3 linked regions of the Tamandua tetradactyla genome follow. The protein of the gene in region 3 interacts with the protein of the main gene of each other region in a pairwise test. Links are inferred from orthologs where the notes say so. Each region holds a gene or a part of one and is shown on either strand. Other genes may lie near its edges.

Region 1 (9,527 bases), on a different chromosome or scaffold from region 3:
GACCTCTGGCCTTGCACCTTTGTATCACAAAGGCTGGGTGAGTTGACACAGTGGCAGTAAAAATATTCCTGGAAACCATTCTTATGTGAGGATGGTTAGCAATAACTTACACACAAATGTTTTCAACTAAACCCAAATTAAATGTATCCCTCATTCAACTTTCACTTAATCAGATTTCAGAAAATGCCTGCTGCCACTCTGACTCCAACGGACATAAGGGGATATATAATGGAGGGGAAAGTGAAGTGGAAAGAAACAGCAGTCCCAACCAAATTGTGGAAGTGGCTCATGAAAGTGAAGGGCTTTGAATCATTAACTTCCTTTGCCTCTCAGTAATGCCTCCTATGGTACATGAGCAAACCTGAGGGAAAAGGAGGAGTTCCACAAGGCAGAGGATTCAAAAATGATTCCTTCATACAAGTACATGATACACTTCACTTGCAGTGAGAGCCTAGTGACATAGATTGACATTATATTTTCTAGCTTTAACTACACTAACCTTCAAAAAAATGCACAAGTGTCTTAAAAACCAAAGTCCATAACCAATATTAATGGTGGAAATATAAGTTAATATCAAGAAAATGGTAGAGACAACACTTGTGCTCCTTCTACTATGAACTCTTGTCAGCCACATATGGTATGAAAACTGATAATCTAATCATATTTTACAAGAGTAGGTCCCCAAATTTCAAAAATTTTAAGAAGACTATTTGAAATTCAGTGATATAACTACTAATTATAGTATGAGGCCAAGATGATTAGCAAAACATTTAAAAATTTTGTTTATTTCATCCTTTAAAACTTTATATTTATATGCATATTTATGGTGTATGTTAATATAAAATGAATTCATATAGTGACATTAAATTGTGTGTGTGTGTGTGTGTGTGTATATATATATATACACATACATGTACTGTGGCTACCTGTTTTTAAATGTTATACTGATGAGGTGAGTATTTTTAAAGGTTTGGAGAGCACAGGGCTAAATTACGGTCTCAAGTGCATTGGAAGCCTAGTCATGTTCCTACAGAGATGATGATATTAAGTGACTGATTTGGAATAAGTCAGAATGATTGCTAGTATTAAATATTTATAGCCTTTGTTTATGCATTGCCAATCTAACAGGTAAAATGTATTAGATATCCTTTGGGGTGTTTGCCTAGCTCAATGCAACATTTTTTCTCTGAGAATTCTCCACCCTTTCCTAACTTACAGGATGAAATTTGTCAGTCATGTTTTTACAGTGTAACCCGCCCCCTCAGACAGACTTGGTTGGACTGAGAGTAGATTTCTAGCAAAAAAAAAAAAATCTAATCAGCTGCTTTCTCTTTAGAGTTTTGTAACTGAAACTAAGACAATTAACCATTTTTCTTGAGCAGTAATTATCTGAACCCTGGAGTTGATTGTTGCATAGCCATGTGTATGGAAAAAGAGAGAAAGCTCTTCTGTTCAGGGAAGAAACGGATGTACAGAAAAAACATTATCTACCTCCCTTATAACTTCTTGGTTTCCCTTATTTAATTGTGATTTTACGTTTATGTACTTAAACCCCACATGTCTGTATTATTACTGTTTTACACAATCTTTATTCAGAGTTACCAACATACTTAACATTTTCACTGCTCTTTATTGCTTTCTGTATCTCAAATTTTCGATCTGGGATCAAATTCTTTCTATCCAAAAAATATCTTTTAAATTTCCTTGTGTACCAGTGGTAAAATTCTCATAGTTTCTGCATATCTTATTTTGCTTTCATTCATTTTTTTTTAACATTTTTTTACTGTGAAAGATAACATATATACAAAAAAGCAATAAATTTCCAAGTACATTTTAACAAGTAGTTGTAGAACAGATTTTAAAATTTGGTACGGGTTATAGTTCCATAATTTTTTTTTTTCTTCTAGCTTCTCCAAGATACTGGAGACCAACAGAAACATCAATATAATGATTCAGCAGTTATACTCATTTGTTAAATCCTATCTTCTCTGTTATGCTCCTCCTCTTCTTTAAATAACATATAAACATAAAAGCAATAAATTTCAAAGTATATCACAACAATTAATTTTAGAACAGATTTCAGAGTTTGGTATGGGTTACAACTCCACCCTTTTTGGTTTTTATTTCTAGCTGCTCCAAGGTACTGGAGGCCAATAGAAATATCAGTATAATGATTCAGCACTCAGACTCACTTGTTGAACCCAACCTTCTCTGTATAACTCCACCATCACCTTTGATCTTTTTCCCACTCTTTACGGGCATTTGGGCCATGCCCATTCTAACTTTTTCATGTTGGAAGGAGCTGTTGATAATATGGGACAGGGGGATGAAACTTTGCTCTCATTCCTGAAGGATATTCTTCCTGAGTATAGAATTCTAGGTGGCAGTTTATATTCTTTCAATTCATTTAAAAGTCATTCCACTGCTACAAGCAATCTACTGCTTCTTTGAAGAGAATCAGTCCCTTTTCTCTGGCTGCTTTTACGATTTTTCTCTTGGATTTGAGTTTTCTATTTTTTCTCTATGATGTGTTTAGGTGTATATTTTTAAGTTTATGGTGCTTGGGATTCACTGGACTTCTTGTCTAATATTGTCTGATATTTTTCATGATATTTGGAAAATTCTCAGTTATTATCTCTTCAAATATTGCTTCTAACCCTCTCTTCTCTTCTTCTACAACTCCAATTAAATGCATGTTAGATCTCCTCTCTCTAGCCACTATTTCTCCTCTCATATTTTCCATCCTTGGTTTCCTCATGCTTCATTTTGGATACCTTTTTTTTTTTCCTGATCTATCTTCTGTATCACTAATTCTGTCTCCCAGCTGTCAAAAGCATAGCTCAGCCTCTCATTCATCTTTATGCATCTGCAAATTCTCCCCTTCTCTTACCAGGGCAAAAGAAGTTTGAATGTATAGACCCTATTCTCTTCTACTTCTTGGCCAGGAAATTCCACACTCACTCTCATTAACTTTCTGATGATTTAAAAATTATGTTATAGTGTACTTCCTCACTCAACAATGTTCAAAAACTAAAACATTACCATAGATTAAAAGAAAAAATTCTTAATAATAACCTAATCTACCACTTATTGAGCACCTTCTACAACATGCTAGTCTCTTTATTAAATTTCTTGTAGTCATCATTGTACTTAGATGAAAAAAAATCAATGCTCCTTCAAAGAGCATTGATGAGTCTTAGGACTTTACTACTTAACGTAAAGAAAAGTAGGCTTTACTACTGATTAGCCAATTGACTATAAACAAGTCCTTTACCTCAATACCGTCATAAAGGGCTGGGTGGATAATTTTAAAAGTTCCCCTACTTCTGAAATTCTATGACTCAGGTCTACCTAGAATTGAAAGCCAAAGGTATCCTTGGGAGTTGAATGTTGTAGAGGAACTTTCTTCCAGCCCACCTGTATTAGTTTGCTAGCGTGGTAACAAATAACCACTTTATTGGCTTAAAACAATGAAAATTTATTATCTTACAGTTCTAGATGCCAGAAGTCCAAAGTCTGGCCTTGACCAAGATTTTGGCAGGTCTGTGTTCCTTCTGGAGAATCTAGGGAAGAGTCCATTCCTTGTTATTTTGGTTTACTAAAGCTGTGGAATGCAATAGACCAGATGGGCTGGCTTTTAACAATGGGGCATTATTAGCTTACAAATTTATAGTTCTAAGGCCATGAAAATGTCCCAGTTAAAGTATCAACATATAAGAATAACCCCCAGGATAACCTCTCAGCTCTGTTTGAAATCTCTCAGCCATTGAAACATTGCCTCATTTAGCTCTTCCCCCTTTTGGTCAAGAAGGCTTTCTCAATTGCTTGATGCCAGGTTTTGGCTCACCCCAGGAGTTCTGTCCCACCTTGCCAGGAAAATTTATACCCCTGGGAGTCATGTCCCACATAGGAGGGAGGACACTGAGTTCACCTGCCGAGTTGGCTTACAAAGGGTGGCTGCATCTGAGCAACAAAAGAGGTTCTCTGGGTGTGACTTTTAGGCCTGATTTTAAGTAGGCTTAACCTATCCTTTTGCAGGAATAAGTTTTATAGGGGTGACCCCTAGATCAGCCTATTGATTTGGTTGTCCCCACTGTTTGCAAGAATATAAAATTCTCCAAATGGGGAGGTTGATCTCAAAATCATTAACCACACCCGCAAAGTTCCTTTTGTCACATAATGTAACATACTCACAAGTTCTGGGTATTAGGGCATGGACATATTGGGTCGTCATCATTCTTCCTACCATTCTAAAAATTGCTCTTACCCTTTATGTTGGGTGATTTTTTCTTCTATAAAGACTACTCAAAGTCAGAAAGGAAATCAGTATTTCTCAATGGTAGGCACTTTTTGCCTTTTATCTCCCTTAAGGTACCATCAGCCATCTGAGGTAGATTTTATTACCCCAATTTTAAAGATTATGAGACAGAAGATGAGAGAGATTCAGTAACTTGACCAAGGTCATCAAGTTCATAGAATGTCTGAGCAGAATTTTGTACTCAACCAAAACCCATGGGCAGATGTTGGCTTGGCTTAGTACTTTAAGATTTCTGGCTAGTCCTTATCTTAGGAAACATTCTAATTTGGAGGTTTTAAAAATGGGTTAAAAGTAGGGGGAAGTTTTCAAACTGGAGAAATACCTTTAAATGAAGTATCCGTGGCAACACGGTTAGATTGCTTAGGTTCTATTAGGTCTCCAGCTCCTGCCAAATGAGATGTTTGGACCTGATCACACACCATTCAGTTCCTTTCCCGTTTGGACATTCGATGTTTCTAAGAGATAATCTCTTTACCTTAAGATTTCTCCACCTTACTGGATGTTTGTCCTACGATAATTGCATTCAAGCTACAGGTATCTGAACTACCAGTGAAAGCCAACAGCAGATCAAATAAGAAAAAATGAGAATGAAAGAAGATAAGTGATGAGAGATTGAGAGGGACACAAAGAGAATAGCATGCAAATGACTAAACACAACCACAAACGGGCTTCTAGCATTTACGATGGAAATGGAACTCTGCCGTTCTTTGAAGGTAAAGGAAAACGACATTATTCCTGCTCTCAAGGCGCTTAAAGAATGACCGAGGGGTTACACTGTACCTAATCGTGGACAACTTCTACCTCTCTAGACGTCCTGGCTGTGAGAAATAGAAGGAAAATTAAGAAACAAAAATACATATTTTAAAACAACAAAAAAACCCCACTACGTTTGAGTGTGCCAGAGGCAATGTAAAAACACGGCCTCTGGAAACAACTGGGATGCACAGGAAAGCTAGGTGCGCGAGTAAGAAAAGGGACTTGTTCCCCCTCCCCCGCGGGCCTAAGCCAGACACACAAAAGAAACCGCTTTTGCCCTCAGCGGCAAATAGCATCTTTTCAGCCAGCGGAGCCGCTAGGCTGCAGAGGCGACCGCCACCCCCGGGCGCCCCCGCCTCCGCCTCTCGGCCTCGGAAGTGACGTTAGGGCGCCCCGCCCCCGCCGCTAGATCCGCTGCTGCTGCCGAGGCGGGCAGACCTGCAGGAGGCGGCGGCGGCAGAGCCCAAAGGAAGATGGCGGACGGTGTGGACCATATAGACATTTATGCGGATGTGGGCGAAGAGTTCAACCAGGTACGTGAGGGCCCCGGCCGGTACCGCCGAAGTGGGCGGCACTGCGGCCCGGACGCTGACCCGGGGCCGGAGGCGGGCCGCGAGGCCGCGCGGCTGCAGACCGTGCGCCCTTGCCGCCTGTGGGCCCCTCCTCCGGCTCCGGTGCCCCCCTCGCCCCTCGTTCTACCGCGTCGATTCGCGGGCCGCGTAGCTGCGGGGCACGGACGCAGGCCTCCGTCGGTGCAGCCGCCACCGACCCCTCCCTCGCCGCCGCTTTGCTCCTTATTGTAGGCGGCGGCCGGCAGGCGCTTCTCTCCGCGCTAGGCCCGGGCGGCGGGGCCGCGTGTGCGCGGCGGGCAGAAAGGGCCGCCGCCGCATCCCCTCCCCCTCGGGGCCCGAGAAGGAAGCCTCGGAGGGGCTCGCGCCGGCTGCCGTCTCTTTCCCGGCGCTGCCGTCCGGGCTCCGATTCCTCCTGTCGCTCCATTTTGTTTCCTTGTCCACGCACTGTCGCCTCATGGAAGGCCGCGTTCACGGCCCTTTGTATCCCGCGCGCCCCGCTTCCCGGGCGCTCTTGCTTGCGTTTGCGACAGGTTTCGGCGTGGCGCCTTCCTCCTCCTTCCCTGACCGGGAGAAGGCGTGTTAAATGTGAGCATCTTTGCAACAAGTGTTTTGACTTTAGAACCCACGAATTGTATTTAAAAGTCGGTACGCTGGCTGGCCTCGTTAATCGAGGGCTTTGCAGTGCCTTTGCGGCCCAGTCTCTCTTGATCTTTGTGATACAAATTCCTGTGAAGATAGGTGGCCTGGGCGAAAAGCAGTTCTTGGAAGCGCGATGGTAGGATGCAACAAAAAGATCCATGGTATTTTCACTTAGAGATCAGGTGTAGAGGCGTGTTTAAGAATAAAGAACGGACATTCACCCGAAATTCTTAAATTTGAAAATAAAGAATTTTAGATATGCTGTATTTGAAAGCAAGATGTTAAATTACTCGGAGGGATCCACTTTATATTTTGAGAGGTTAGAGAAAGTGAGAAAGCAAGATTTGTTCTGGTATCAGGTCACAGTTGCCTAGAACTTGGTGTCTGATGATAAGCATCCTTGTAGAAGATCTTGTTTAACCAAGTTAATGACGTTTAAGCCCTAAAGCCTATGTTCACAACTTTGCTGCATTTTATGTGACACCTAATAGCACTGTTTTTTATATTTTCCAGGTTCGAACGAGAAGCTTAATAAAATTTTGGTTAATGTTTGGGTTTTTTTTCCCTTCATTAAGGATTTTATTTGCGGTAGGAGGTCAAGATATTTTAAAATACGAAAACTCCAGAAATCTTACATTCCTTTTTTCAAGAATGTGTGGCTCAAATATTAGAAGAGGAAAAAAAAATCTTAATTAGCTTTTAAATATTTCCTACTCCCTTCAGAACTGCAAATGTTTAACTGTAACCCATTGTCATTAAATGTTGAGTTTAAAAATTCTTGTGTTTTAAATTCACTTATATTTTGCTTGTATGATACTTGAATTGTGTCGATGAGAACTTAGAAAGTTTCCTTGAGTGCTACACAGCATCGGGTTCTAATGCTTTTAATTTCCATAGATAAAGGCTTCTAGGAAATTTCTTTTATGTATTTATCAGATGAGTAGAGCGCTCTGACCAAAAGAAGCCACACCTGTGAATAAAGGGACAATTAAATGTTCAAGATTGTCTTCCTTACTTTTTCCTACAAAAGAATATATTGGTTTGCGTTTCTACCCACAATAAAGGAAGAATTAGGGCGAACTTTAGAGATTAAGCTTTCTTGATTACCTCTTTATGAAATGTTTTTAGACTTCTACATACTTAATTTTGGAGGGACATCTCCTATATCCACATAGGTGGTTGGAGTGATATTTTTTTGTTATCTCTGTGCATTAAGGCTTGAGTGAGCAGGAGGTAAGAGATTAAAATTTTGTGAATTCGATGAACTATTTTGTAAGGTTCTTTTAGAATGTCACTTGACTTATATCTGGGTCATTATATCTCATAAATAGTTGTGTGATTTTGCCCCCTAAAATTGTTAATGTCTTTGAATGGATTAATGGCGGGAGGCATTACAGTTTTATTAAATACAGGCTTTGTTTTTGTTATTTTGCATATCATTGGCCTCTAATCTGCTTGCTGTGGTAATTCCCTATTTTAAAAATGGCTGCAAAAGGATAATTGGTCATTTTCAAGGTTCATCCTGTTTTTAAAAAATGCTAGTATCATTGAAAAATTTTTTTTTAAGAGACAACTGTGAAGTTATTGCTGACTAATTTAGTTTTGCCCTCTATTAGATGATCTTATTTCTACTGGTTGCTATACTAAACTATAAGATTTTGAATAAGAAGTAATTGAGTACATTATTTTACTATGTTAAGTCAGTCGACTTAAATTTTTGACTTTTAAACTGCGTATGTAACTTGAAATGCTTCGTGGTTTGTGTATTTTCTGTTTTTTACTTCTTTAAATGGTGGTAGTTTATGAAGCTTTTAAAAATTATTTTGGTAAAGCACAGTATTGGTCTATCTGAAGTTGTGTGTGAGGCATTCTTTTGTCTTAGAAGAAACTAACTTGTTTGGGGATGGAGTGAAAACAAGAAAGTGAAACTGCAGTAGAGTTCCTTTCTTCACCTGGTGAATTTAAGAATGGAAAAGAAAGCTAGAGGAGGTGAGAAGGCACAAGGGAATTGGCTATCTTATTCTTTGTGGAGGCCCTTTAGTTCTTAAACTGAAGGTTTTTGGATGTCACCAAATTGAGAACAGAAGAAAGCTGTTCTGTCTCAGTCTCTATAGTGTTTTAATTCAGTTTGAACTGTCATTTATACTTAGTGTAGTAAGTATTAGCCTAGTATGTAGTAATTACAGACTTTAATTTTATTTTTATTTACTAAATTATAATAATTTTTAAAGCGCAATTGTTCAAAATCTATTTCTTGAGTGTTTGTTATATACCTGCAGTTAGAGATAGGAAAATTAGATAGTCTCTGCCCTCAGAGTGCATTGGGGTGCACTCTGGGTTGAGAGATAACCTACAAAATTATAACATTCAGACAGATGCAGTAATGTAGATACCACTGTTTTATGTATAGCTTTATCTGTAGAATTTTTGTTGGGGGGAAAAGGAAAGTAAAAAATTGTCTGAGTGCAAGGAGAGCTTATACTGTGTGCATTGAATTGCGTTTTTTACTTGTTTGGGGATAAAAAGCTCTTAGTGTAGAGTTTAGCTTCTGGTATCAGGCAATAGGTTCCTGATAGCAGTGCCAATTTAGTAATCTAACCACCCAGCTTTTAAGTGAAGATTATAGGGAGTGGCCAGGAAAAGATTTACCTAGAAGTTAGAGACCTAGACATCCCTATAAGACAACCTGTCTTTATTTCGTGAGTCATCATGTTTTATATTTATTATATCCAGTTGTTTGGTCAGTTATGGAAAATGCATTTTGTTGGACAAATATTAATGAACCTTTTTCTGTTAATTTTAGTAGAAAACAATGTAGTTAGGATTGAGAATAAGGTAGTAGAGATTGATACAGGAATGTTTAGGGGAGCTTAGAACTCTTCTCACTCTGCTTTATTATTTATGAATGCAGTTAATACAGCTGCCTATGAATTTTCGGGTTTGTCTGGCATATTTTTAGGATAAAATTGGCTTTCTCACTATTAAACTGTTTAGAGGAATTACTAATTTTAATATCTGCTCAGAACAGTATTGGATAAAAATCAGAAAATGAAATATTCTCAAAAAATAAACATTAATTATTTGCTTTTGGATTTTGCATGCTTATGTTTCTCTTCCTTGGTTTAGAATACATTTTGTGTATGCAAAATGTGGTTTTCCACCCTGCATATTTCTCTAAACGGGAATGACTACACTATTTTTCTTTCTGTCTGTCTTTTTTTGAGAGGCTTTGAAACAAGTGA
Region 2 (9,777 bases), on a different chromosome or scaffold from region 3:
ATCAGGTGAGGTCCCCAGACTTGTGTACTTTGTTTTCCCAGGTAGATCCCAGTACTCAGTTCCTTCTTTACTTTTCTGTCTCCAGTGGGAAATACTTTCAAGTCTCCCTAGACATGCCCAGGGTTTTCAAAGAATTCAGAGGACAGGAGAACAGCCCCCAAAAGAGTTCTCAGGGTGCTGACTCTTCTGCCTGGGATGGTCTGGAGAGTACTTCTGATCGACTCTTGAATCCATTGTCTTTTCCTCTTCCCAGGACTGTCATAAGCACAATGCAACATGCAGTCTACGTCTATGACATTTGTCATGTGGTCATCGACAATCTGCAGTTCATGATGGGTCACGAGCAGCTGTCCGCAGACAGGTGAAATCCCCCTCTTCCCTAACTGGAAACCACTTGAACAATCATGTCTTCTGGGGCAGCTGGTCTCTTGGCACACACACTGTCCTCTCTTGTTTTCTGAGATGTATGCAGGCTCATGGCACCCTACGTGCACTTCTGTCTTTATAGATGTGGAGTGTAACAGCAGGAAAGGACAGGATCCGAGTATGAGTAAGGTAGAATGGGGTTGTGACAGTTTGGGGGGATGAGAAAGAGTGAAGAGAGTATGCATGTTCTTGTCGTTCTGTCTGTGCCCATAAAACTCTTTTAAACACTTTTTTTATTGTATAACATATATACAAAGCAAAAAAAGAAAAAAAGCAATAATTTTCAAAGCACACTTCAACAGGTAGTTACAGAACAGATCCCAGAGTTTATCATGGGCTACCATTCCATCATCTCAGATTATTCCTTCTAGCTGCTCCAAAACACTGGGGGCTAGAAGGAATATTAATATAGTGATTCAGCAGCCATACTCATTCGTTAAATCCCATTTTCTCTGTTATACCTCCCCTATCTCCTTTAATCCCTCTCCCAATCTATAGGGATCTTTGGGGAATGCTTGTTCTAACTTTTTCATGTTCAGAAAGGGTGTCCACACTAAAGGATAGGGTGATGTAATTAATTGATAATCCTGGAGAGGCTGGTTCCTCTTGGTTTCCAGATTTATCTGATCTAGGAACCCTCCGGGAATTATATGTTCCAGAAATCTAGTGCATGAAACCTTTATAGAGTCTCAGTTTGAGCCCTAGGTGTTCTTAACAGTCAACAGAGTGATGTGAATTGGGGTTTAGCAAACCATGGCCATTAGGACTGCCTAACTGAAGCTTCTGTAAGAGCAGCCTCCAGAACAGCCTCTTGATTCCATCTGATCTCTCCTCTTGTCCAGTAACTTTTTTTGCTTTTTTGGGAGCAGGATTGCAGCTCAAGACTATGTCATTGGGGCCTTTCGGAAGTTTGCTACAGACAATAATTGCCACGTGACACTGGTCATACACCCCCGGAAGGAGGATGATGACAAGGAACTGCAGACAGCATCCATTTTTGGCTCGGCCAAAGTGAGTGATCTTTGGAGAGAACCAAACTTTGGTGAACAGAGTGGTCAAGTATGACCAGGGATAGCCCACAGTCAGCCTTAAATAACCTCGTTGACTATCCATTTAACAGATGGGACCGACATTAGGAATATATATGTACTCAAATACAAAAGCTGATAATAATAGTGTGTCGTTCTTCTACTCCAGCTCACATCCTCTAGTGAGGAAAAGAATAAGGTGATGATTACAACTCAATACCAATAAGTGCTGTGATAGTCAGCACACATATTTGGAGAACAAAAAGACATCTGAGTCTGCCTGGGACATCTGGGGAGACTTCTCAGAGGAGGTGTCACTGAAGTTTTGGTTGAATTTTGATGGACAGTAAATGTTAGATAATTAAAGAAATGGGCATTCTGGGCAGCAGGACCAGGGTGATTGTGGAACTTTCTGTGGATACTGAGTGCCTGTTATATGCCAGGCCTGGGTGGGGCACAGGGAATACAGGGCGAGGAGCACAAATTACATGCCACAATGGAACAAACAAGTTGCTGGGGAGAAGAAAAATGCAGCAGTCGAAAAATGGTGGCACTTTCTTCATTTAGGGTAGTAGTAGAAGAATGGTCTCAGATGAAGCATGGGACATTTAAAACAAGACCTGAATGACGAGGAGATGCCGGGGTTGGGTGGGGTGGCTGGCTATGGAGAAGAAGGGTTATAAGCAGAGGAAAACATCAGGTACAAAGTCTTTAGCCCACAGTGAACTCCTTGTCAAAGAACTGAAAAGATTAGAGTAGTCCTAGCATGTAGGTCAATAGTTCAGAAAGCTGTGGTAATTTCTGCCTCTCTCATATGTCTTTTCACCCCTTCCTTCTTTCTTCTGCTCCCTGCACCCCCCTCCCCGCCAACCTCCAGGCAAGCCAGGAAGCAGACAATGTTCTAATCCTGCAGGACAGGAAGCTGGTAACTGGACCAGGGAAGCGGTATCTGCAGGTGTCCAAGAACCGCTTTGATGGAGATGTAGGTGTCTTTCCACTTGAGTTTAACAAGAGCTCCCTCACCTTCTCCATCCCACCAAAGAGCAAGGTCCGGCTCAAGAAGATCAAGGATGACAATGGGCTAGTGGCCAAAAAGCCTTCGTCTGGCAAAAAGGGGGCTGTGCCCCAGAACTCTGAGGCTGGCCCGGGTCAGGCCTCCAACCCCTATCAGCCAGACACCCCCCAGCCTTCTAGGTGAAGGGTGTACAAAGCTGGACACTAAAGTGAGCCTGATGGGACAAGTTGGAACATAGACTCTTTCTTGGCCCTCTGTGAGGGCTGCCTCTGTGCTGTGGTCCTGAAGCTATGGGCTCCTCTCAGTCTCAAGGGCCTAGGCTAGGGCAGGATTCCATAGGAAGAGCGTTCAATTCTGCAGACTTTGCTTTAGGTCGTGGGAATACATCACTGAGCAAGACAGATGTGGTCCTATTCTGTAGAACCTGCATTCTGGTGCAGGAGCTAAGATAAACAATGAATAAAAGAACAGAGAACATAATTTTAGATAATGGAAATGCTATAAAGAAAATTTAAAAAACAGCTATGTGATAAAGAATGTTCACAGGCTAGTTTCAGTTAAGTGATCTGAAAAGACCTCTGAGCAGAGGACACTTGAGTTGGGGTCTGAAGAACGGGAAGGAGCAAGTCATGTGAATACCTAGAGGAAGCAGGCTCCAGATAGAAGGAAGAAGAAATACAAAGGCCCTGGGTTGGGAATGAGCAAATTGAGTTCAAGAAAGTGGTGTCAGGCCCCTCATCTTGGAGGGGATTAAGAGGCTCCTTGATGCAGCTCCCGCCTAGGCTTTCAGAGCTGAAGCATGATATGGTAGGTACTAGGCCCCCCCCGTTCCCCACTTTGTGGGGCTGTCATGAGCTGGCATTAGCTAGAATTGGCATCCTAGGTCCTTGGCCCTGGACTATCAGGACCCAACAGGTAGGAGCTACCTCCCCTGGATTGCTTGGCAGCAGCCATGAACCCAAAGAGCCTGCCACCTGGGCACTAATTCCAGGTAAGCTGCTTTAGACAAACAGTAGTGCTGGAGTGGATGCAGTTATGACTTTTTATAAAGCCTTTTCCAATTTTACTGAAAAAGAATGTTTTTCACTGCCTTTGTTTCTGTGCTTTTTTTTTTTTCTGTCCACCAGGTGTCCCCAGTGTATAACTGGACTCACACTTTGAATTGGGAGTGGAGGGGAGGGGATCTCCTTCCCCACTCCTGGCCTTTGAGTTGTGGGCTCCCAAGGGAGAAGGGGCATTGAAAGACCCTCACCCCTACCCATATAGCTCTTCTGGGCCTAGGGAAGACAAGTGTGTCCTTATCCCTAACTCCTTGAGGAACTCCATGTTGTTCGTAGCAGAGGAGTGGGTCTCTGGGCTACTCAGACCCTGTCTGGTCAGCTGTTCTCTGTGATGTGAGGCACTCGCTGACCACCTTCAGTGTTCACTTAGACCCAGCATATTCTTATCTTGCCGTCATTTCCCTATTCCTTGTACCCTCTTGGTGTTTTTCTTATGTTAGTGTGCATCAGTACTCCTGGGGATCTTGTTAAAAATTCAGAACCCAGGCCCACACGCCCCACACCCTCACTTCCTGCTACACATACATTTCTAATTCCAGAGGTTTGGGGAGGGGTTTAAGAACCCTCATTTTTAACAAGCCCTGCAGGAAATTGCAAACAGGTGAACTGAGATCCTGTCAGAAATATTCCTAAATGATGACATTTTCCTGTCTCACTTTCTGTATCCAGTTTCTCTTTAGAGTTGCCCATTTGTTTTTGAAAGCGTGGGGGAGAATGCAAGATGTTCAGAGGGGGCTGGGGAGAAGCCTTTTATTTAGGTGGGAGAAAGGTTTCCTGCTCTCTGGAGGCAGGGCTGCCATGTAAAGTTCTCCCTGTCAGCTTAAGAGCGTGCTCCTGGGACTCCATGGAAGGCCTGAGGTCTCTGGTCTATAGTGTGTGACAGCTGTGGCCAGATACCTCTCCTGAAACAGACTCCAGAGCAAAGCTGCTGCAAAGCTGTTCTCTGTGGGGCAAAACTTGGGAGGTAGCTCCTCCAGGGCCTCCCTTCTTGGGGGTCTCTCTCCCAGACTGGCTGGAGCCAGGCCTCCCTAATCCTGCAGTAATCATTCCCAGCCGCTGGCTGGCCCAGGCCTCATCCAAACTCAAACACTGGATGTCAGCTATGCCTGCCAGATGCTCAGAACTCCAGGTCAGTCCTACCTACAAAGACAGAGGTTTCACATCCTGGTCCCCCTTGAACACATGGTGTGTTTTCAGGAAATCCTTCAGGAGTTTCCAGTGGGCTAGTGGGAATTCGGGCTAGAGGGGCTCTCTGCATCCTGTGTAAGGTCCCTGGGAGTCACTGTCTACACACCCATTCAAAGTACATTAAGGCATATTACCTGGGATAGGGCTGGACTCTGTCTACCTCCAAGTGAATGCTAAGAATCTCCCCGATTGCTCAAGAATGGCCTGGTCAAGCAGGGTCCAGGTGGATCTGCAGCTTTGTCCTCAGATTACAGTGTCTGTATGTGTCACACTTGGCTGGGAGGAGGGGTCTCCACGGTGAGGGAACAGTTTTGGTCCTCCAGCAGCTTACTCTCAAATGTAGATGAGTTTGAGAATGGACTACACTCACCAGTCTCCTGCAGCCCAACTACTCAGGTTGTAAATATAGCCCAGATTCCTGCAGACATTATAGTCTATGCCTTCCCATCCGCTGCTTTGGGTGTATGGAGAGAGGGAGCACTTAGTGCCTCCCTAAGATAAAGGCCAACTTCCTGTTTGTGCCTGTGGGTGGGACTTTATGAGTCTAAGGGAAGCTTGGCCATGCCCTGTGGAGGCTAGAACTGGCAGACCTCACCTGGGCAGGCACCTACTTCGGGGAAGGGGGTGGTGCTCTGTTCTGCTTGGGCAGCCCCAAGGGGGGAGGGGGGCTGTTTTTGGTGAAACCCGAGCTTTCTTTGTCTGCTTCTCAGGGATTTTCCTGTGTTTGGGGAGTGGGCTGAGAGTAGACCCTGTTGGGCTCTCTAAGGAGAGGGGTGGGGTGGCAGACTCAAGTCCCATAATCAGCGTTGTTAGGACAGCCAGGTCGTTTAGCTCTCCATCACGTGCTGTTCGCCCCTTCCCCAGGTCAAAGCCAAGTCCAGGTTGCCGGTGAAGTCAGAGACCTAAAGGGCAAACTCGAGGCACTGCCCAACTACAGGGTCGGCTGTAGAAGGGGTGCTGGGCAGACCACTCCCCTCCCTGAGTCAGGGGCGCGGCCTCCACCGCTCCGCCCCGCTCCACCCGGCCCGGCCAGGAGGGCGAAGGGAGCCGGGAGCCGGGAGTCCAGAACAGGCTTGGGAGCCGGCGGGTCGGCCGCGAGGAGGTGCCCGCGCTGGAGCTGGCGCGGGGCCGGAGCTGGAGCTGCGGCGCAGCTGGCGTTTGGTGAGTGGTGGGGGAATACCCGCCTCCCACACCCCGCTCCGGAGCGAACTTTCCCCGTCTGGGAAGCTGGAGATAGGGGCGGAGTGGGGTCCTCCTCCTGTGGGACGCAGGAGAGGGAGTCTGAATAGGAGGCGACGCAGATACTCACACTGGCGGGCCCACACACGTGTGCACACCGATCCCCGCACGTACTTGGGACACACGAACACACGTGCACTCAAGAACGGATGCAGCCAGTGGGTTACCCTTGCAGTTGCAGGGGCACGCCACCGGCCCGCGCGGACCCCCGGCGGGCAGGGCACTCTGCTGTCGCGTACTTGGCGGGGGTAGGGGGAAGAGGCCGCCCCGTGACCGCCGACGGGGGCGGGTCGGGTGGGACGCATCCGGAGGTTCCTGCTTCCCGGCCGCCTGCAGGTGAAGACTAAGACGTAAACAGGCGCCGAGCACGTGATCGCGGCGCAGCCTAGTGGCTGTGCTTCCCCCACCCCCGCCGAAGGCCCGGGACCGCCTCTTTCAGTTCGGGGCGAGTCTGCAAGGTCCCACTCGGGGCTGTATTCCATTCTACGCCTCGAACCTGGAGCAATGATAAGCCTTTCCCTAGAAAAGGGACACATCGCCCCCTGGAGGCAGGGTGGCTCGGAGGACCGGGAACGTAGGGCTGGGATGGGGTTACCTGGGCTCCTCGCCCTCCCTCCCCAGGACACGTTCGTGGTGTCTCATCCCTGAAGGTATCGGAGGGGGCCTTCGCCTTGATGGCCGTCCCTTCCCTCCAGCCCAGGGAGCAGCTGTCTGAGCATCTGTGGATCACCTTCCTACCAACCCACCGCCCTCTTGCAGGACTGGGAGCTCCTCCCCGCGATGTAGAACAGAATGCCCGCCCCTGTAAGATTGGAAGTCCCCACCCCCGCCCAGTGAACGCAGGAGTGTAAACACCCCTCAATACCACCGTTTTAGTAGAAGGGAGGATGAGCGCCAGCCTCCAGCCCGGGGAATGAGGGAGTGGGCAGCGGCTTTATACCCCCTCCCCCCTCCACGCGCACACGCTGAGCCCAACTGCTGCCTGAGTTTCTGCGCCGGCTGCCGGGAAGGGGCGGAGGCTCTAAATGTCCCGGGAGGCTGGGATCAGGGCAAGGCCAGAAGAGGTGGTCTCCAGTGGGGAGAGAGCCTCCGTCTGGTTCTTGCGTGGCTGAGGGTCTGGGGTGAGCCTGAGGGTGGCTGGGCTGTGTTTCCCTTTCCAGGGAAAAAGAAAGAAAAACAACCCTTTCCATAAAGCTAAAAATAGAATTGAGAGCCCGGCCAGGGCTGTGGCCTGCGGCGCGATGGGGGGGGGGGGGGGTGCTCCTTCCTGGGGCGGAGCGAGCCCTAGCTAGGCCTTGGCGCTGGGGGGCGGGGAGGGGACTGTCCTTGCCCAGGGTGCGGACATCAGCTGACCTGACCAGGTCGTAGAGACCCCTATGGGAAAGTCCGTGTGGAAGGATATGTTTGTGAAACATGATGTGTATGTGTGAGAAGCTGTGAGAGCAACTGTGAGTGCCTGTCAATGTGTGGAAGATGCTTGGGACACCAAATGTATTTGTGACTGGGCGTGAAGACTGTGCCAAACAAGATGTGTGACACTGTGTCTGTGTGTGAGTTGGCCTGAAAGATTACTGGGAGAAGGAACATGAGACGGAATGATGGATGAGACAGTGTGTGGGTGTTAAAAAGATTGTGTTTATTTGCGAGAGGCTGAGAGTATTTGTGACCCTGGGAAAGACTGGAATGTGGTCTCCTGTGAGGATGGTGTAGGTTTGGACTGTAGGTTTGGAACGGGTCGCCCCAGTAACTGTGTGTGTGTGGGGGGGGGGGGGCAAGGGCCGCCTCTTTTCAAGCTTCTTGGCTCCGAAAGAAGGCTGGAAAGCACGGAGTCTCGCCGGGCGCAGATCTGGGCTGGGGCGGGAGAGGGCAGTTCTGGAGAGAGAGATGGGGGCCCGCACGGCGGGTGGAGGGGGCTGGGTGTGTTCTCCCAACCAGCCGCCAGGTGGCGTCGCTTCCCCCAATCCAAGTGTACCGCCCTCAACCCGCTGGGGGTGGGGCAGGCACGGACCGAGCCTCGCCCCCAGACTGGTGCCGGGGCATAGGGCCTCGACAGCAGGAAGGGGGTTTGCAGCGGACCCTCGACCTCCCCGTCTGGACTCTGAAGCAGGAGAGTGTGTCTTGGGGAGAGGCTTCGACTAGAGAAGCGAATGGGGGCGGGGTGGCCGCCGTCACGCCTGGCCCTTTGTGCTGGAACAATGACCAGCTGCCGCCGGTCCTGGGGCCCTAGCGTGGGGAGAGAGTGACCCGCCGCTGCCGAGTCCTGAGCCCACCGAACCCCCAGGACCATAGACACCAAGCCTCAGAGGGAGGGATCCTGATTCCCGCTGTGCTGCTCCTGCGTGTGCCCCGTTGGACACGCGTGACGTGGGGGTGCTTGCGCGTGTCGGCGTCTGGGGGCGGGGCCGCCCGTCGGACCCCTCCCCCGCGCTGCCCCGCCCACTCGGCCCGGGCGCCGGCTGGCCCCGCGGGTGGGGGGGCGCCGCGGAGGAGGGGCCGGGGCCGGGTCGGGCCCGGCCGCCCGACTGGCCGTGCGCGGGCTGGAGCCGCGCTGCGCGCTGGTGGAGCGCTGGGGGCGGCCCGGGGCTGAGCATGGAGCAGCGCGGCGGAGGTGAGGGGGGGCCGGGGCTGGGAGGTGAGAGGAGGCGCCCCGAACTTCTCCGCGGTGGAGGTCCAGTGGGGAGCCAGCATTCCACAGCTGCCCCTACTTTATGGAAGCCAGGGGAGGGGACGGGGAAGGGACGGGGAAGGGAGGGCTTTGGGGACTGTTGAGGGTGGGTTGGGGGCGCCCGGTTTCCAGTCGCCGGATGGGAACTCGTGATCCCAGACTTGATACCGCTTGGCTGGTCTCTGGAGTTTGGGTCGGGGGAGACCTTCCCCAACTCTTCAGCCCCCAAGTCAGGTCTGTGGGAGCCGGGACCTCTTTGGGCTTGGTTGAACCCCAGCCCACTGAAGGGGGGTCCCTAGGCCAGAGCGATTACTCAGGGAACGCTGGAAAGGTGGGGAGGACCGGGGGTTCCCTTTCCCCACAGCCACAAACGCATTTCTCAAAATGGAGCCTCGGTTTGCCCCTCCTTCTCTCTCCGCCCCAAGAGCGGGAGCCGGTGGCCTGGCCTGGCTTTCCAGATGCCTGGCTCTCCTGAGCGTCCAGTTCCCAGGGTCTGGCTTTAGGTCCCTCTGGGTTCCGGACCCCACAACTCCGTGGGGTTCAGGGGCCCTGGCTCACAGGGTCTGCCTGTCTCCTTGTCTGCCTGACCCTACCAGCCTCTCTAAGTCTTTGTCTCTTGTGTTTTGGGCCCCTGTGTTTCTCTTTAGTTTTCACTTTCTCAGTGCTCACCAAAGTGGGGAGATGCAGACAGAGGTACCAGCCCCCAAGGCCCCCTAAGACCCCTCTTGCTCACTGTTCTCTCCATGCCCTGGAGTGGCCCTGAAGAGGGAGCAGAGTTGAAGGAGGGAGGGTTCTAAGGGCCTTGCCCAGGGCCAGGACTTGTGGGGTGGTCTCAGCCCTGGGCACTGCAGAGAGGCCTAAGGCTCTTCCCTGGGTCCTGCTCGCCCCCTACCCCCAGCTTCCAGCTCCTCCCCCCTGACTGGACACTCTCCTGGCTCTCAGTGTCTTTTGACTTGGTTGTGGGGGGGAGTTAACTTAATGGAGAAAGAAAGGAACAGATCAGGTAGAGTCAGATAATATGCCTCTCCTCTCCCTGCTCTTCAGTCAGGGGAGAAAAGCAGGCTGCCATTCACCAGTTGGCTCTGCATGCCACCCATGCTCCTTTCCACACATGGTCACAGTCACATACACTTGTACATACTTACTTCCCTAGTC
Region 3 (9,469 bases):
CATTTTTAAAAGCCATTTGTTTCAGTTTGCTAAAGATGCAGGATGCAATATACAAAAAATGGATTGGCTACTACAAAGGGGATTCATGAAGCGACAAGTTACAATTCTGAGGTAATGAAAATGTCCAAATTAAGGCATCGACAAAAGCATACCTTCACACAGAAAAGGTTAATCTCGTCTGGGGTTCCTCTGCCACATCGGAAGGCACAGGACGGTGTCTGTTGGCCCTATGCTCCTGTGTTGCTTTCAGCTCTTGGTTCCAGTGGCCTCCTCTCTGAGCTTTTCTTTGTCTCCAAACATCTCTGAACATCTGTCCCCTGGTTTCTTCTTTCTCCTCTCTGTGTCTGAACTTTCTGCAAAATGTTCCCCTCCGAAAGGACTCCAGTAAGTTAATAAGACCCACCTTGAATGGGTGGACTCACATTTCCATGGAAACAACCTAATCAAGAGATCTCATCCAAACAGTGGTCCTGCCCCCATGAGACTGGATTAGGATGAAAAGAACACGGCGTTCCTGGGGTGCATAACAGTTTCAAACCAGCACACCAACATTCTTAAATCAATTTGTATCCTGCACCATTCCTTCAGGAAACCATTATTAACTTGCCAACTTTGAGAAGTGAGCAAGGAGATCTGCGGGAATCCAAAGAAGTCACCCTTGCCCTTGGTCAGTGTGTCCCCTTTCTACACCCTATGGACACAGATGACCCCAAATCAAGGCATTTTTGGATGAGTGCCTTAGCAGAGCGGTGACAAATGCACACATCTTCTAGGAAGGAGTTTACTGGTGACAAATGCACACATCTTCTAGGAAGGAGTTTACTGAAAGATGAAGGGAGGGTGCTGTTTGAATATCAGCAGGTATCAAATTGCACAGGATTATTCTGCAAACACAGATTTCCAGTTTAAAAGTCTCCATCAGACTCCCAGAAGAAGAGGGCTGTCCCCACCAGGGTACCTCAAACAGCACCGTGAAGGTGTGCCAGCCAACCTCTCTAAAACATACTTTCCTTCTAACGTATTTGTTCTTTAATGAAGAATGTGATTAATAAAAGCAACAAACTATTCACCAATACCCCAGTTGAGAACTGCTTTATATTTTAGAAGTCTTCCCTTTTAAATATGCATATAAAACATTAAAGCATTAAATAACTAGACTTTAATAACTGGAAACCTTATTAACTGAAATCTCTCTACTCAGCACTCCACTATTGGAAGAAAGTAGCAGATGCGGGAAAACAACTGTATTAGGTTTTTAAAAAGTCATTCTAGCACGTGGCTCCAATTTAGTTTAGTTTCCACGCAATCTTCAATGTGCTTAATCCTGTAAAATGAGATTGCATGTTCAGAATGATGGCCCTTAGGCCTTATAAGGCATCCAAACATCAAAATAAAATAAAATAAAAAAAGACATTTCATTTACTGTACTGTGCTTTCTATGGTGAGATATCAGCTTGTGGTATTTTAGGAAAAAATTTCAACTTGTTTTTGAGCTAAAGGGCCTTTCTGGTTAAACCTTAACAGAAATGAAAATTTAATTTAAGGGAACAGCTCCTTCCTGAGGCATTTGGATTAATTGAGGGTTTATTGTATCTAACAAATATTTCAGATGTGATATTCGCCTAAAGGTAGATTTCAAAATGGAAATTCGAGTAAAATCCTCTTAGCTTTTCTGAAGTTGTAGGAGCACTCTCAAAATTAGTCCACTCTAAAATTACTTTTGCCCTGCTGCTAATTAAAATAATTTAAAGTTTGATTTTTTATTTTTCAGTACAAGCAGTCCTCAAGTTTAAAAGTTACGTTGTGCGTGTCTATCAACAATCTGTGTTTCTTGACAAAATGCACAGAGAGATCAGTTAGTATTTCAGTACACTTTTATTCCTATAATTCTTTTGCCCATAATTGCACTTGACTTTATAGTGTATTATTTTATCTTTTTCATTTATTTAAACAATAAGATGAGCACACCCATTTCCTGAAGTACAGATCATAATTCCAGACCTGGAAAGAGTAGATTTATATACAGACTGGCCCTTTGTGGTAGCTGTTGTTTTGAGATGGATGAACTTTTAATGTGTAATTATGGGCTTTTTGGATTTCATTCTTCCAGAAACTGAGAGATGGGTTCCATGGGTTTCTAGCTTGCCTCCTCTTTGGTCTGAAGAGACGGTGAGAAGGTGCTTTGTATTTTGGGTAAGAAATCTTCATTTTATCTGAAGACTCAATGTTTCCGCCCCTTCTCTCTAAGCTAATGTAAATAAAATGAAATACTGAAACCTGCCAGTCCACCAGTATTCGTTCTGAAATTGTTTTATGGGTTCATGAAGTCTTGTAGGTCTCTTCACTATTGTTTGAAGTTCTGTCCCCTTTGGTGAGCTCGTAAAAAAATGTGGACTTTCCATTCATCATCAAAGTTTATTAAGTCTCTGCTAGGCACTCTGTAGAGGAAAAGGTGCTGGGGTTCTGAATGGAAAACTCTGACTTGTTCCCTGCCTGCAGGGTGTTTATCTCAACACTAAGATAGATGATGCAATTAAAGAACACTAAGGCTCATTACTCCAGTGGGAAATTATAACACTAATGGTTTCTTTTCTAGTAAAAAGTCACTTGAGGGCAGGGACTGTGCCTTGCTCACTTGCATACCTCCAGAAGAAACTCTGCTTGTAGTCAGTTGGCTATAAATATTCATTAAATATAACTGTACAAAAACAAAACCATTAATCCCTCACCAACCCGTTTCCCCAACTTTTCTATTGCTGATTTTGGCCCTGTTATACATATGCACTACCTATATCCAAAGCCTAATGTTAGGTTTGATGCCTTTTTCCTCTGTCCTCTCTGCCTGGCCATCTGTCAATCTCTTTTGAGCTTTTCATCCCAGGCTCTTGTAAACCATTTTCTCTTCTGTTCATCCTACCCTAGTCTGGGTTCCTACCTCTCTGAGAAATGCAAACTTCTGTTTGTCCTGCATCTGGGCATTCCTCCTTCAACCTCTTTGGTGTACCCACCACATGAGTTTTCCTGAAACAAAGCTGAGGTGATGCCCACACCCACACTTTATCTCCTGGGACTTCACCTCATGAGCATCCTCTCCTCCATGTAAGGAAACTGGGCCATTGTCTGATCCCATCAAACCCTCCAACATTCTCCTTTCTGTCCTCATGGGTCTCTACCCCCTTTCTTAGGAATTTCCTCCTTATCTGTCTCCATCTTTCAAAATTGTACAGGTTGCTTAGTCAGAGGTTTTGATTGCAAGCAAGAGAAAGTGCTTCTGGCTACCCTAAGCAGAATGAAAATTTACTGGAATCATATCAAAGAGCTGCTAGGGCAGCTGGGGCTGCAAGGAAGCAGGCTGGGAACTAAGCAGGCTGGCTACCCTCGAAGGAAGTGCTGGGACTTCGAGGCCAGAGCAAATCGAGTTTCACCCTTCTCCCTCTTTGTCACACTCAAGTTTCAGAGGCCTGAGTGGGAGGGTTCAAAGGAGCCCTGCCTTCCTCTCATTCAGATGGGGGTCTCCCTAAAACAAGGAAGGGACTCAGATGTAGGGTAGCTGGTTATGGCAGTCTGCTACTGTGTTGTCTTTCAAGGTCCATTTCTAATGTCACCACCTTTTGAAAGCCTCTCCTGATTCTCTCATTTTGTTCAATACTTTTCAAATTTAGCTTTACGTTGTAGTTGTTTGTATATTGTGCCTTATCCTTCCTCTGAGATTAAAAGCTCAATTTATCTGTTTCTCCCGAATTGCCTCTTTTAACGCCTTACAAATAGAAATGTACTAGGAAGGTTTAATTGAATTGAGGGTCAAGACAGAAGGGCACAGAAAGGCAGATATGAGGGGTTGCCAGGTGTCGAAGCACACAGAAGAGGTATTTTTCCTATTAGCTCACGTAATCCACACAATTCTTGTAGTCGTACTACTATTATGTGAGGCTCAGAATGCTTAAATGACTTGTCCAAGTCACAGGGCTGTAAGCAGGCCTTGGACCTGGGAGGAGAATTCAGAAGTTTTATCTAGTCCAAGGAGGGCTTAGAGGAGGCGGGTCCAGAACTTCCGGGAACACCTTAAATAGGTGAGGAGTGAGGCAGGGAGCTCCTGGCTACTCTGCACTCTAGAAGGTAGAAATTGGTGTGACTAAATGGGGGACAGCGGAGAGCCCAGGGGGACTGAACCAAATCGCTTATATTGGGGCTGAACCAAGAAACTAGATTGTTCCAGCAGGACTAGGTCATAGAGGCCTGTGAAAGATAAATAGCAGGACTTGATGCTGATGTGTTTTGGGGGAAAAGGCTTATTACACTTTCGGCCCTTTCAATATTTTGTTAGTGAGGATATTTTAATAGAAAAACAAACCTGGATGTACTGATGGAGGTCAATGCAGAAATGGGTAGATATTTTTGGATACAACTCAGGCTTCAAAGAAATGTCTCAGCCACCTTGGGCCTTGTAATGGGTTGCATGGAAACCCCCCAAAAGATGGGTCTACCTAGAACCTGAGAATGTGGCACCAGGTTTTGGAGTCCAGTATGTGCAGGTTCTGATTCCAGTTCTGTGGCTTGCTGTTTCATTTTTCTTGTCTGTAAAATGGGGAAGACAATTTTGTGTTTGAATTAAAGACGACAAATGTAAAATATTCAATACATGAACATTTTGCTTATCAATAATTCCAAAATTAGGACGGTAGCATTGAAAGTAGAAAGGTGTGGCCAAAGTGATGCTTAAGAATCAACATGACTCAGAGTCATGGGAGTGGAGATGGCAAGGGATCTTCACGTGATCTCGGCAATCCCCTCACTTTCTGCAGGTAGAGCAGAACTAGAGGAAGGACAGGTTTCTACCCTGGGGGCCGAGAGAAGGTGGTGGAAGAAAGGATTGGTGTGGCAAGGAGGCCAAGTTCATCCTGGATGATCTCGAGGAGGTGAGTTGCTGGCCACAGGGAGGGTCTCATGAGCAGGTGAAACCAGAGACGGGCGTAAAGGCGAGGTCAGGGCTAAGGGTCTCTCTAGGGCTACAGATCTGGGAGCTAGTCCTGGCAAATCCAGACCAGAAGCATTCACAAAATGATTAGCTCTCTGGAAAAAAGGCACCTGACAGAATAAGAACATAAAGCCAAAATCTGTGTCGGGAATATGGCCACCGTCAGAAGCTGGGAAGACAAAACACCCAACAAGGATACAGAGGAATGTAAGAGAATGGGAATCAGACGTGTTAGATGAATGAAAAGATGGCTGAGTTTCATGAAATAGCAGAAAGGCCACCTGCTTGGAAAACAACCTTGGATAAAGACCTACAGGCTGCTGGGTTTGTAGATAATGTCCCGGGTGCCTTGAGCCAGAGTCTGGGGAGGAAAAGGAGGCTTTGGATGATGTTCAAAGATACATGATTCAGTGAAAGTTTACCAAGCTAACAAGCTAAAAACTGGGTCAACACTGTTAAACCTATTTCAAGTAAACTAATTTAAAACTGGGGCAGACCACTGAGTAGATTTCTGCTTTCCATTTTGTAAAGCAAGTTGTTAGTAAAGCAAAGTTTTCAGGAAAGGATGGACTGAGGGGCTACCTTCCAAGGTTATGAAAACAGAATGTTTCCCTTCTCTCATCTCCCAATCGACGTGGTCCACCCTGCTACCAGACGTTGCTAATGAGGTGTGCCCCAACATCGCAAAGGATGCAGGTAAACATATCTCCTCACTTCAGGAAGAAACTGAGGCTTAGAAAAATTAAGAGACATTCAGTTGTCTGACTTCAAAGTATACAGACTCTAGTTATCCATCCTTGGGGACTTTCTTGCCAGGACAAGACAGGGGATGAGGGAGTCAAATAATACTGCCTGGTCTCCTGGAATAAATTATTGCTGCCTTGATAGTCATGGAGAAGCCAGGAGCCTCAGGGTCACTCTCTAACATGGCTGCAGGCTATCCCGCTAGGATATCAGAATCATTTGAATATTAGGGTTTCCCTTTGGGAATCCATATGGGAAGGAGGTGGGAGAACAGGCATCTGGTGCATGTGTCATCCTTTCCCTTTCCTTGTGGGATTTCATCTTCCACGTTTGTTTAGAGAGGTGAGGCCCAACTCGCAGCTGGGCTGGGGAACCGGTCCCCCCACGCGTGAAAACTCCTCCCGGCGCCCACGTTCACGCAGCAACTCCCCGGATTCTGCTACCCGCTCGAGCAGGCGAAGGTGCAGGGGTGGCCGCGGAGGGTGGGTTTCCTCTCCTGCCCTCAGGAAGTGCCCCCAGCAGGGACGCGGGAGCAAAAAGAAAAAAACAAAAAACAAAAACCAAAAAAAAAAAAAAAAAAACTTGTCTGGTTGGGAAAGTAAATAGATGTAAGGCAAAGATATAAAAATACCCAAGAGCAATTACAAGGAGGAAGTGACATTTTAAAGTCACTTTCCTGATGGACAACAGGCCTGCCTTCCTGCGAGTGCCGTGGGAATGTTTTCGGGAAGGGGACGGGGGCCAAACGGCGAGAGCGTCACGATAAAATCAAACAGAGCAGGGACGGGCGCGACCCCCCTCCGGGCCCTCGGCGCTGGCAGCCACTGCCCTTATTTTCACTCCCCAGTTCCCACCCGCCTCGCCCCCCGGGCGAGCCCTCTCCCGCGGCAGGGACGCGTCCCCCCTCCGCACCGGCGGCCAGCTGTCGCCGAGCACCCGCGCGGGCCGCCCAGGCTGACAGTTCCCTCCCCGCCCCCCCCGATCCCCGGCCGCGCACCTCGCGCAGCGCCGCCCGCCGGGCCCGGGAGCCCCAGCCTGGGGCGAGGCCCGGCGCCCCCAGGTGGGTCTCGGCCGCCTCCGCCCCGCGCGCCCGGGGCCTGCGGCGGCGTCACGGCGCGGCCGGGGGAGGAGCGGCGGGAGGCGGCGGCGAGGGGCGGGCCGGGGAGGAGGAAGCGGAGCGGGGGAGGGGGCTGGGCGCCGGGGGAGGGGCCGCCGCCGCCGGGGTGGTGGCGCCGGGAGCCGCGGCGGCCAGCGGGGCGGCGGAGCGGCCGGAGAGAGGGGCGGCCGGGCCTGGGCGCGGCGGGGCCGAGGCGGCGGCGGCGGCGAAGGCTGAGCGGCGGCCCCGGGCCCCGGGCGCGGTCGGCCCCGCCGCGGGAGCGGGCGAGCGGCCGCGGGCGGCGGGAGGAGGGGAGCGGCGCAGACAAAGAGCGGCGCCGCCCGGGCCGGGGAGCGCGGCCGCCGCCGGGACCCCCGCGCGCCGGCGTCTCCCTCACGCTCGGCCCCCGCCGGAGGTAAGCGCGCCTGGGACGGGCCCGGGGCGCGGGGGGCGCGGGGGGCGCCGCGGCCGCCGCAAACTTGTGGCTATTCGGCGGAGTTGGGAGCGCGGCGGGGGCTGGCGGGGCGGGGCCGCGCTGGGGCTGGGGCTCGGGGGGACCGGGCGCCTGGCTGCTGCCCACCGGGTCCCCCTCGGCTCGGCCGCGGGCGGGCTGGGCTGGGCTCGGCACTTTCCAACTCCGCACCCTCCTGCCCGCCTTCCCCGGCCCGGCCCCCTGCCCCGACCCCCTGGGGGACCGGGGCCGCCCCGCGGAGGGTCTGGGCGGGGGCGCGGCCGGCCGAGGCGTCGGGGACGGGGCTAAGTGCCCCGGGCAGCGGGTCCCGGGGAGCCGGGCAAGCCCCGGGTGAGCAGAGGGTGCCGGCTCCTGAGCCGGCCGCGGGGACGGAGCCCGGGCTTCGGCGTGGGAGCGAGTCCTCCTCCCCGCGGGTCAGCCCGGGAGCCAGGATGGGGGGGGTGGTCGCGGCTGCCGGGCGGCGCGTGTCCTCCGCGCGAGTTAATAGCCCAGATCTCGGGGCCCGGCGCCGAGGCCGTGCGAGGCCGCGCTTTGCCCGGGAACTTACAGGCTTTATTGGAACTGTTTATGAATCGCCCCTCAAAGCTGCTGTCACGCCGCATCAGGGAGGTCCTCGCCTCCGCGAAGGGCGCTTGGGTGCCGGCTCCCAGCCTCCGTGTCCTGTCCCAGATTCACATGACTCTGTTGCAGCCACCTGAGCCAAAGTTTCCCACAATAGCTTCGCTCCCTCGGTTTATTCAGGGCGATGAAACTCCGAAATGGTTCTGGAAGAATTGGCTGTGTGACTTTTAAGGCACTGCCTCCACCCTCCCCTGCACGCGCGGTTGGCGTGTTGTTGTGTGGAGCGGTTTAGTTTGCACAGCGTAGAGGGTAAAGATCGCCTTGGAAAGGTCTGCGTGGGATCCTGGGGTCACTGGCAGGTGACCATCAGACGTCGGAATTAAAACAGGCGTTTTAACAACTCCGGGGACAAAGCAGTAATGTGTGTGGAGTCTGCCTCCGCCACTTCGGGCAATTAATTTTGGCGGTTTCCCCTTTATTGGGCTTTGTTTATCTTGCCAACAGGTTTAAGTCTCATGCAGCCAACGTTGCCTCTCATCCTTTGGCTTCTGAGTAATGGGATGAGCCAGCCCTGCTGCCCTGCAACATAATCCTTCTGGCTCTTTCCATTGACCCACAAGGAAACTGACGCCCAGCGAGGCTTACTCAGGACCCACAGGTCTCGAGCCCTGCCTGGTCCCAGCGCAGTGGCGGTGGTCTCAGGACGGATTGTGTGTGGGGTTTGGTGCCGCCGTTTGTGATGTAGTTGTCAGCAGTGCTTTTCAAGCCTTAAAAGTGACTGAAAATGAGATGAACCTGGGCTGCTTTCGTTTATCAAAACAGATCTGAACTTTGCCCCCCAAACACTCCCTTAATTCACTTACCACGTGTTCCTTGATAAACAGGTAAATTAATGGCAGTGTCAGCGATGAGCATGCGGGGAAGAGATGCACCTAGCTATAGGTTTTTTAGATGTTTGTGATAGGGATTTCCTGAGAAAGGGTTAATACTGCTTGTGAAGACGTGACCAGAAGGGGAAATCCTCCCCGGATATTTCTCCTTCTTCAGTGCTGGCTAGATGTAGTTTTGATTGAAGAAAGCGGCCGATCTTCATTGACTTCTAGGGGCAACTTGAGGCCGAGATTCCATTCCTGCGAGCCAGTTGTCAGCTTCTGGAGATGCCTTCCTGCTCTCCTTGCCTTGGACACCTCACCTGTGCTCTCGGCTTCTTAGCAGCTAGGTAAACACTCACCTGGATTGATCAGGAAATACAGGGTGTCATTGCGTGGCAGTTCCCCCTCTGTCCATTTGTGGAAAACTGATAGATTTAAATGGGTGAGATTGTTTAAGGTGCATTTTAAGCTGCTATGCTCAGTTTTCACGCTCTGGGTTTTGCTTTATAAATTTTGGCCTGCTTTATAAAATTTGCTTTGTAAATTTTGGTCTGATCATTACATTACTACATACTTAATCTTCTTCATCCTGGAATTCCTTGATCCTGCCATATTCCTAACCTCTGTCATTTGCATCAGGGGTTACTGAGGCTTTCCAAGAAACAGTATATCTTGTGTCTGAGTATTTTGAGAAATGAACGGCCATCCATATTAAATACCCTAGAAATCACGCCTGCATGCTCACAGAC

What was found. The genes of interacting proteins can lie anywhere in the genome.
Region 1: the proteins of NCK2 (region 3) and CPSF6 interact in binary tests that used the Homo sapiens proteins (3 or more experiments, as listed by UniProt). The two-hybrid records come from large-scale screens. The link is inferred for Tamandua tetradactyla from reciprocal best matches to the Homo sapiens genes NCK2 and CPSF6.
Region 2: the proteins of NCK2 (region 3) and LZTS2 interact in binary tests that used the Homo sapiens proteins (3 or more experiments, as listed by UniProt). The two-hybrid records come from large-scale screens. The link is inferred for Tamandua tetradactyla from reciprocal best matches to the Homo sapiens genes NCK2 and LZTS2.

The regions. Positions count from the first base shown.
Region 1 is NC_135333.1:137,452,325-137,461,851, forward strand, and holds the start of CPSF6 (cleavage and polyadenylation specificity factor subunit 6), read left to right. Parts: upstream 1-5,472; 5' UTR 5,473-5,547; coding exon 5,548-5,607; intron 5,608-9,527. UniProt on the Homo sapiens protein: Component of the cleavage factor Im (CFIm) complex that functions as an activator of the pre-mRNA 3'-end cleavage and polyadenylation processing required for the maturation of pre-mRNA into functional mRNAs.
Region 2 is NC_135339.1:62,548,936-62,558,712, forward strand, and holds the start of LZTS2 (leucine zipper putative tumor suppressor 2), read left to right. Parts: upstream 1-5,722; 5' UTR 5,723-5,879; exon of another isoform or gene 5,880-6,287; intron 6,288-6,552; exon of another isoform or gene 6,553-7,174; intron 7,175-7,275; exon of another isoform or gene 7,276-7,318; intron 7,319-7,914; exon of another isoform or gene 7,915-8,068; intron 8,069-8,455; exon of another isoform or gene 8,456-8,565; intron 8,566-8,729; exon of another isoform or gene 8,730-8,856; intron 8,857-9,777. Other genes in the region: TWNK (twinkle mtDNA helicase), read left to right, coding at 1-5, 254-361, 1,296-1,437, 2,332-2,652. UniProt on the Homo sapiens protein: Negative regulator of katanin-mediated microtubule severing and release from the centrosome. Required for central spindle formation and the completion of cytokinesis.
Region 3 is NC_135343.1:70,554,286-70,563,754, forward strand, and holds the start of NCK2 (cytoplasmic protein NCK2), read left to right. Parts: upstream 1-4,817; 5' UTR 4,818-4,916; intron 4,917-6,728; exon of another isoform or gene 6,729-6,779; intron 6,780-7,159; exon of another isoform or gene 7,160-7,230; intron 7,231-7,776; exon of another isoform or gene 7,777-9,469. UniProt on the Homo sapiens protein: Adapter protein which associates with tyrosine-phosphorylated growth factor receptors or their cellular substrates. Maintains low levels of EIF2S1 phosphorylation by promoting its dephosphorylation by PP1.